Linked DNA regions of Sus scrofa. The protein of the gene in region 2 interacts with the protein of the main gene of each other region in a biochemical or structural test. Links are inferred from orthologs where the notes say so. Each region holds a gene or a part of one and is shown on either strand. Other genes may lie near its edges.

What was found.
Region 1: the proteins of ARFIP1 (region 2) and ARF3 form a complex in vitro, tested with the Homo sapiens proteins (2 studies listed by BioGRID). The link is inferred for Sus scrofa from reciprocal best matches to the Homo sapiens genes ARFIP1 and ARF3.

Annotation. Positions count from the first base shown.
Region 1 is NC_010447.5:14,975,915-14,979,716, reverse strand, and holds part of ARF3 (ADP-ribosylation factor 3), read left to right. Parts: intron 1-1,270; 5' UTR 1,271-1,363; coding exon 1,364-1,511; intron 1,512-2,340; coding exon 2,341-2,451; intron 2,452-2,682; coding exon 2,683-2,807; intron 2,808-3,363; coding exon 3,364-3,525; 3' UTR 3,526-3,802.
Region 2 is NC_010450.4:76,267,575-76,271,896, reverse strand, and holds the start of ARFIP1 (arfaptin-1), read left to right. Parts: upstream 1-1,468; 5' UTR 1,469-1,587; exon of another isoform or gene 1,588-1,724; intron 1,725-1,782; exon of another isoform or gene 1,783-1,937; intron 1,938-2,583; exon of another isoform or gene 2,584-2,600; intron 2,601-4,322. UniProt on the Homo sapiens protein: Plays a role in controlling biogenesis of secretory granules at the trans-Golgi network. Mechanistically, binds ARF-GTP at the neck of a growing secretory granule precursor and forms a protective scaffold.

The DNA.
Region 1 (3,802 bases), on a different chromosome or scaffold from region 2:
AAAAACAGTACAGCAAGGAACAAATCTGCAACGTGTGCAATGGTGATAAATGCTGTGCAGAAAAGTGAAATGGGATAAATGGGGTAGAGAGTGGTGTGTGTGTGTGTTATAGGTGGTTATGGAAGGCCTCTTTGATACAATGACAGTTGAACAGACTCCTGAAGGAAGTGAGGGGGTGCTTGAGCAAGGTTGTTTGGGAGAGGAGCATTTCAGGCAGAGGGAATAGCAAAGACAGAAGCTTTGAGGCAGCAAAGCATTGAGGAATTGGAGTGGAGAAAGCCGAGGGGAGAGTGGTAGGATATTTCTGATGACAGAAATAGGAATGCCAATCATGCAGGACTTTGTAGGCCATGGTAGGACTTTGGATTTTACTAAGGGAGATAGGAAGCCAAAAGAGGGTTTTGAACAGAGGAGCCACATGACCTGATTTGGGCTTTCACATTAGTCTGGCTGCTCTGCGGAGACTAGACTGAAGGGGTTAGAGGAGAAGCAGGGAGTGAGAGGACTGCCTCAGCACAAGTGACCCTGTGGAGCTGCTGTCCTGGGATGGGCCACGGCGAGCCTCGGACCTACCTGGGTGAGGAATGAGGGGTAGCCTCACCCCCTGCCGCCTCCCAGCTCTCAGTGCGGTGTTGTATGAACAGGGCATGATTTTAGAGGCTGGCATTTCAAAGAGTGGAAAGCCTCAGCCTCTTTTAAGAGCGTTGCTTTCTTAGTTTCTCCTCATGAATTTTGATGTGTAGAAGGAAAGTGTGGAAGTATAGGAAGGGAAGAAGCAGTCTCTTGATTAGAGCAGAGAGCGTAAACCTTGGGAACCTGGCAAGCCTGGACCTTGTTGGGAGTCACAAAGAGCCACTCCTCATTCCACTCCCTCCTCTCCCACCCTTTCCAGAAGTCTCAGGGTAAGGTGGGGGGAGGGAGCGGCAGTAATGATCTCTCGACGCCTTGGGGTATAGTGTGGATGTCGAGACCGAAGGGACTTTAGAAATCGTCTTGTTCCACCCCCTCCGCTTACAGGTGCAGATAAGGACAGGCGAAGTAGCTCCTCAAAGTCACTGGCAGAAGCAGAGGTCCTTAGCGTGCACTGCTTTGTCTCTGCTCCCAAAGGCTCAGGATGTGTCTGAGTGGGCCTTGCTCTTCACAGTACCCTTAGTACCGTCAGGCTCTCAGTTTGTCATGGGTGAACTCCAGCCATGACTTTGGCAACTCTCATTCATACAAAAGCCTGACAAGCAGATGGTGCTAATGAGTTGACATTTTTTTTGCCTAGAATCAAGCCCTCCATACCAGGGACCAGACCAAAACCAGACCGCCGCTGCCCCTCCTTGCACCCGCCTGTCCTCAGAAAGCAGCTGCTGTGATCATGGGTAATATCTTTGGAAACCTCCTCAAGAGCCTGATTGGGAAGAAGGAGATGCGCATCCTGATGGTGGGTCTGGATGCCGCGGGGAAGACCACCATCCTGTACAAGCTGAAACTGGGCGAGATCGTCACCACCATCCCCACCATTGGTAAGGGCATGGCTCGGATGTAGGCTTTCAGGCCAACAGCTGAGCCAGAGCGGGGGCCTATTCCTAGATCCCCCCACCTGGCCACCAGGCAGGGCCCTGCAATTTGTGGGGTTCGGGGAGGGTGGTTATTTAGCTCACCAGCAGGTGCTGGGGCTGCCGTTTGCCCACCTACCCTGGCCCTCCCTGATGCAGGAACTTCCGCAGCCTGGCACCCAACAGTGGCCCTCAGGCTCTGAGCTGGTTTGTTCTCTGTTTTTTGAAAAGCAGGTGAAGGGCTTTGATGTTCCTGCCAGAGGCCTGGAATTGTTTCAGTTTAGATCCCTGGTGGCCCTGATCCCAGTTAAGACCTGCCTGTGGGAGGGAGAATATTTGCCCTGTGGAGGGGGCTCCAGATCATCATCATCAGCTGGTTCTGCGTTGGGGGCTCTAGGACTGTGGCTCACTTCCTGTTCTTCACTCTGTCTCCCAGGCCCCACGTCTCAGCTGAGGCAGATTCTGGTGGCCAAGGTACAGGAGTGGGGCTGAGTCATTTCTTTGCAGGAGGGAGAGTCAGAGACTGAGAGAACGAGGCGGGAAGGTTGTCTCACGTTGCCCAGGTGATGAGAACTTCCTTCCTGGCCTGACCCTCTTTGTCATCTTCCACTTCTCTCAGGTTTTCTTTTGGACCTTTACATGCCTAAGCCAAGGCACACCAGGCCTGAGGCAGCCTTAGCTTTCTCTCCCTTGCAGGGCCCCGGCCGTGGCTGGGGAAACAGGAACAAACCCCCCAGGGCGTTGTTTGCAGGCCTGCGGTTTCAGGCTAAGTGACCATTGTCTGCTTTTTCCAAAGGGTTCAACGTGGAGACGGTGGAGTACAAGAACATTAGCTTCACAGTTTGGGATGTGGGTGGCCAGGACAAGATTCGGCCTCTCTGGAGACATTACTTCCAGAACACTCAAGGTAGGGCATGTGAATTTCCCGTGGACTGGCATGGGCTGTTGGGTGTGAGCGAAGATTGTGGCTGTTGTTTGTTTTTGGTTATCAGCAGCTGACTCTTACCCTGCTGCAGCTCCTAAGCGTGGGAGAAAAGGGAGCAAATATTTGGAGGCTGTGAGGAGGGTGTTGTCTTTTGCTGGTGGGGGAGGGGAGTTGATCTTTCGTCTCTGTGCAGCCCATGCTCTGCCTCCCCAGGGTTGATATTTGTGGTCGACAGCAATGATCGGGAGCGAGTAAATGAGGCCCGGGAGGAGCTGATGAGGATGCTGGCAGAGGATGAGCTGCGGGATGCTGTGCTCCTTGTCTTTGCGAACAAACAGGTGAGACATCTCCCTACCCCTGGGTTTGAGAGAGGGCAGCCTGGCCGGGGAAAGCATAGGGTCTTACTGTGTGGAAAGCCCTGTGACTGTGCTCTCAGTTTTGAAAGTGCAGGAAACAAGATGAGTTGGCTCCTGTAGGCCCCTTTTCTGTCCCTGTCCCAGCTTTAATGAGCAACATGTCCATCGGGAGGGATTGGTGTGGTAGGTACTTCACCTCCAATCCCTGTTTTATCTTCCCTATTGTCCACCTTAGTGGCCCAGCCCTCGCTCCTGTGGTCGGACAGACCCGCTTGTTTGCCCGGTCTGAATCACCTCTCCACTTCCCTGCCAGCCCCGGATTTGGTTTCCAGCTCCTCGGTGGCATGACCTTTAGTGCATTGGATCTGGAGTTGTAGGGTGATTAAATCCAAGGTAGCCCTTGAGGCTCTTGCTCTGGGTTCCTAACCGAAGGAGGATGAGAGGGTGCTGGTACACATCCCTTTGGTCGATGGGTGGCTCTTTTAGAGCCTTTGAAAGATCCTGAGGCTCCTTTTTCTGTGTTTTCCTCGTGCTCCAGGATTTGCCTAATGCTATGAACGCTGCTGAGATCACAGACAAGTTGGGCCTGCATTCCCTGCGTCACCGCAACTGGTACATTCAGGCCACCTGTGCCACCAGTGGGGACGGGCTGTACGAAGGCCTGGACTGGCTGGCCAATCAGCTCAAAAACAAGAAGTGAGAGCCAGGCAGCCCTGTCCGACCACCACCCTCCCCCCACTGTCCCTGCCCCAGCCCTACCCTTTCCTTCCTGTTGCCAGCGTGGCCAGGCCCTGGGTATCATGTCCGCATGCCCAACGAGAGCCTTGCCTCCCCTGCCCTCCCCTCCCCCCATCCGTGACCAGTCCCAGTTGCTGTCCTGATGATGAATCATTCCAATTTACCGGATTTAAAACAAAAACAAGGTTGTTATGGTTTCATGGGGTGGCCCCCCTCAAGCTCTGGGGTTCGGGAGGTGG
Region 2 (4,322 bases):
TTTTCTTTTTTTGGTTAAGGACAGAGCCATTTAAGATAAGGACCCTTTAACCACAGATTAATGTTTTAGGATTTCATTATGGTTTTGCAGAGGTGTCCTGGAGAGCTCGGATAATAAATATTGTTATTTACTTTTGAAACATTTGTGGTGTCATGGGTTTTTACTGTTCACAGATATGCGGACGATATCTACAGGGATGTACCATTCACTACGCTGAAACTCTCCCCCTCAATTTGGAGAAGCAGAGTTCTGCCTTTGGGCGCTTAGTCAATAAAAATGGCTTGTTGATTAATGCAGCAAGGCAGGTGAGTAGTACAAGTCTAAAGAGAGGGAGATCCCACAGAGAGTACTGTTACCTTTAGCATTTCTGCAAGTGAAATGGCGGTGAAAACGAGCACCCAAGAGCTGTCAAAGGAAAAGCAGTCCAGAACTTTGAAGGGAGATGTGCGCGGGGTGGATCACGGGTCTGTATTGTGTGTAAATGAGCTTCAGGTTTCTCTGCATACAGCGCTGGGGACAGGGAGAACATCCGAGGTACAGGTTGGAGCCTCCTCTTAGGAAACTACAAAGGGCTCTGAAAGAAAGGTTGTTCAGCGGTTTCTGTAGGCAGGGCAGTAATCTGTTTAAGTAACGGGGCGAGCAAAGCTAGCAGAAACTGGTCACCTGGATGAAGAAAGGGAAGCAGGAAAGCAAAGTATCATGGATCCACTGCCTGCGAGCGAGCAGAGCAGAAATGATCACAAAACAGAACAGGTCGTAAGAACTCAGGGACGCAGGGCAAGGGGTTCTGGTCTTCCTGAAGGGGGTGGGCGTGAGTGACGTGGCCAGAGTGGGTCCTTCCAAGCACTGGGGAAGAAGGAAGAGTCAGGCGCCCGCATCCCCTATACTCCATAAATTCTGCATTCTCTCCCCGCCCCCCCCCAAGGGGCTGGAATAACCTTCTATATGCTCTCCGGCAGCTGAGAAATAAGCTTTGGCTCTCCTAGGAGGGCCAGGCGGTGAGCTACCTTCAACCTCCAACCCTCCCGCCACCGGCTCACCGTCTGTTGCCGGGCGCGGGGCGCGGAGGGGGCGGGGGGGGGCGCGCCTAACGTCCGAGGCTGGGGTGTGTGAGTGAGAAAGAAAGGATGCTGAAGGCTTCTGGACCTCCGACCACTCAAGACCAGCCTACGAGTCTCCCCGCGAGCTTGCAACTCTGGCAAGTGCTTCTTTACCCGCGCTCACACCCCTTGGTGATCCCACCGCAGCTAGAAAATTACCCGGGCAACGGCGCCGGCTGAGTCCCGGATGTGGTTGCTAGGGCCGCAGAGGGAGGGGCGGGGCCCGCCTCCCGGAGGGCGGTGGAGGGGGCCTTGGGGGAGGTGCGCCGGCACCATCGAGACGCGGCTGGGCCGGCCAGATCGAGGGAGAGAGAGGCCGTCCAGAGCCACGGACAACGCTACTTCCGGTCCCCTCACTTCCGGCTCCGCTGCTCTCGGCTCGGGGGTTGCAGGCCGGGTTGGGAGGCCGCGGCTCTGCGTGTCCTCGGCCGTCGGTCAGGGTGAGGCTGTGACAGCTGCACTTGCTCCCCGCCCCCGCGGAGCCGAGGTGCGTGGGGGGGAGGGTAGGAAGGAGGAGGCTCAGGTCGCGTTTCCGCTCACTTGGGGCCAGGGCTGAGGCAACTCTGGAGAGCAGAAGGCAGGGCTGATACTCGACGTGAGAACCGCTGGCTTCTCCGCGGACAGGTGAAGGCGGAGATGGCCGGCGGGGAAGAGGCGGGGGAAGGCGGCTGGGAGGGGTTGACGGGGCGGGACACGTTGCCGCTGGGGCTCTCAGTTCCGGACTTTCACTGGGCACTTCTGTCCTTAGTCCGTGCCATCTGTCTCTGCTCAGGTATTCGGCCTTGGATCTCTGCCCCTTCCTCCCTTCTGTCCCACCTGCGTGTGCCGGGTGAAGAGGTAGGACCGGCCCTCCTGGGGCGGCGCCCTCCCGGTTTTGCACGCATCGAGTGGGAAAAGGGGTGGCAGGATCCAGGAGTGGGTCCACTCGGAGTGGGCCACCGTCAGGTTTGGGGGTCCAGCCTTTACGGTTCTCTGCCTTTCCCCGCATCCCGCACTTCTCTCCTCCGCAGTGGGAGGGAGGGAGACGCGGTAGTCCCTGCGAGAGGCTCTTCGGGCAGTGGTGCAGGGAGGCGCCCCGCCTGTGAAAGGTCCTGAGCCTTGCTCAGCTTACGCGGACCGCCAAGGAATGCTGGAGTTGGGAAGGAAGTTGTGCTGGCGTCTCGTCCGTTCCTCTTTGCCAAGTTACTACTGTTTACGTGTCTAGGAAAAAGGATTTTTTTTGTTTTGTTTTAAAGAACTGTTTCTAGACGCTTTTCCCTTTTACTTATTACTTCCTTTGTTTTTTTCTTATCTCCCTCTCGAACCCTTTGATCTCAAAAAAGTTTGTAGTCTGCACTTCCTGCAGATCCTTTAGCCGCCCCCTTTTAGGATTTCTGTCCCCCTCCCTTCATTTTTTCCTAGATTAAAGCATGTCATTTCTCTAACTCTGTTCTAAAGGGAAAAAATGGAAGAGTTGCAGGACTTCTCGTGAACTTGTGTTTTCACTTGCAAGTGTGGCAGGTGTGTGTTCACATTGCAATTTAATTAGCTTTTTTGGCATGGGAACGTGCGCCGGAATTGGTTACGTTAAATCATTCCTGTGTCAAGTCTGCAGGGATTGGCTATTTTATCGCTGCTGTCTCAGAGTGAATACAACAGATTCTACGTCACTATTGTTTTAAATTCACTTTTCTTTTGTTAGTCCTGTGGGGTTTTTTGGTTTGTTTGTTTTTCCTTTCTTTTCTTTCTTTCTTTCTTTTTTTTTTTTTGCTTTCCTTGCTAACATGGCCAACACTTTCTCCCAACCACTACATCTAACACTCCATTAGCTGAGAAAATATGTCTCATTTTATTTTATTTTCTGGGTTAAAATCTCTGCCTCAGTTACTTTCATCTTTTCAGATTGATAAATTAGTTTGCCTTAATCCTGGGTTGTGCTTTGGGGTTCCATGGTCTAGGGGTCAGTGACTTTCAGGGTGTTTCCTCACCCCTTCACCCCCCCCCAATTATGGTTGAAAAGTTTTGTTTGAGTGCGTTTTCAACCCCGCTGGGGAGAATGTCCATTTTTTTTTATCAAATTCTCAAAAGAGGTATATAACCTTCAGATAGACTAAAAGGCACTCCTTAGGTAGTGTCTTTTTGAAGTTAATGAAACTTTTTTTTTTTTTTTTTTTTTTGTCTTTTGTCTTTTTGTTGTTGTTGTTGTTGTTGCTATTTCTTGGGCCGCTCCCGCGGCATATGGAGGCTCCCAGGCTAGGGGTTGAATCGGAGCTGCAGCCACCAGCCTACGTCAGAGCCACAGCAACGCGGGATCCGAGCCGCGTCTGCAACCTACACCACAGCTCATGGCAACGCCGGATCCTTAACCCACTGAGCAAGGGCAGGGACCGAACCCTCAACCTCATGGTTCCTAGTCCGATTCGTTAACCACTGCGCCACGACGGGAACTCCAGAAGTTAATGTAACTTTTTGTGTGGAGCTATTATTTTTTTAAACTGTACACAGCTAGTTTTGGGCACTGAGGAGAGTAGAATGCAGAGATTCTAGCTTCATACTGATGAAATCTCCAGCTACTTCAAAACTTCGGTGTTTCTAAATTCCTTCCTAGACCTAGAGAAGGAAGTAAGACTACCTACTTATTTAGTTCCTGTTTTGTGGTATTGAGGTTTCTTTATAGGGATAGCTGTGTGTGGCCAGTGTTGTGGCAATCCACTGGATTTAGAAATGGATAAGTTTATTCTTATTTAATACATGTTAAAGATCACCCACCCACTGGGTACAGTTGAGTAAAAAGTTTAAATTTCTGGTGTACTTTGTTTTCCTTTTCTTGTCTTTCATTTGAGGCGTCTGCTTTGGGATTTGGCATGGTTAGGAAGGGCAAATAAGATGTTCCCATGGCGTGGTCCATAAGCCTCTGTTATGTTGCTGCCCATCTTGACATCTCTTTTCCCTCCATATCACCTCTGTATTAAGTATTTATTGGGCATTCTCTTTTGAGAATAAGTTAGTGGCCTTCCAAAGTTTATGTAAGTTTAGAGTGCATATTCGAACTTACTGATTTGATGGTGAAGTGTTTGTTGATTAAGGGTTGATGTTCTAAATGTTTGACACCTGTTTCATAGAATGTTAGAACTTGAAGAGACCTGTGCAGCTCATCATAGTCCTTATTAGAGTAACCAGCTTCTGCTCACGAAATAATTTTCCCTCTATCTAGCAGCCTCACTTTGGGGGGCAGGAAAACAT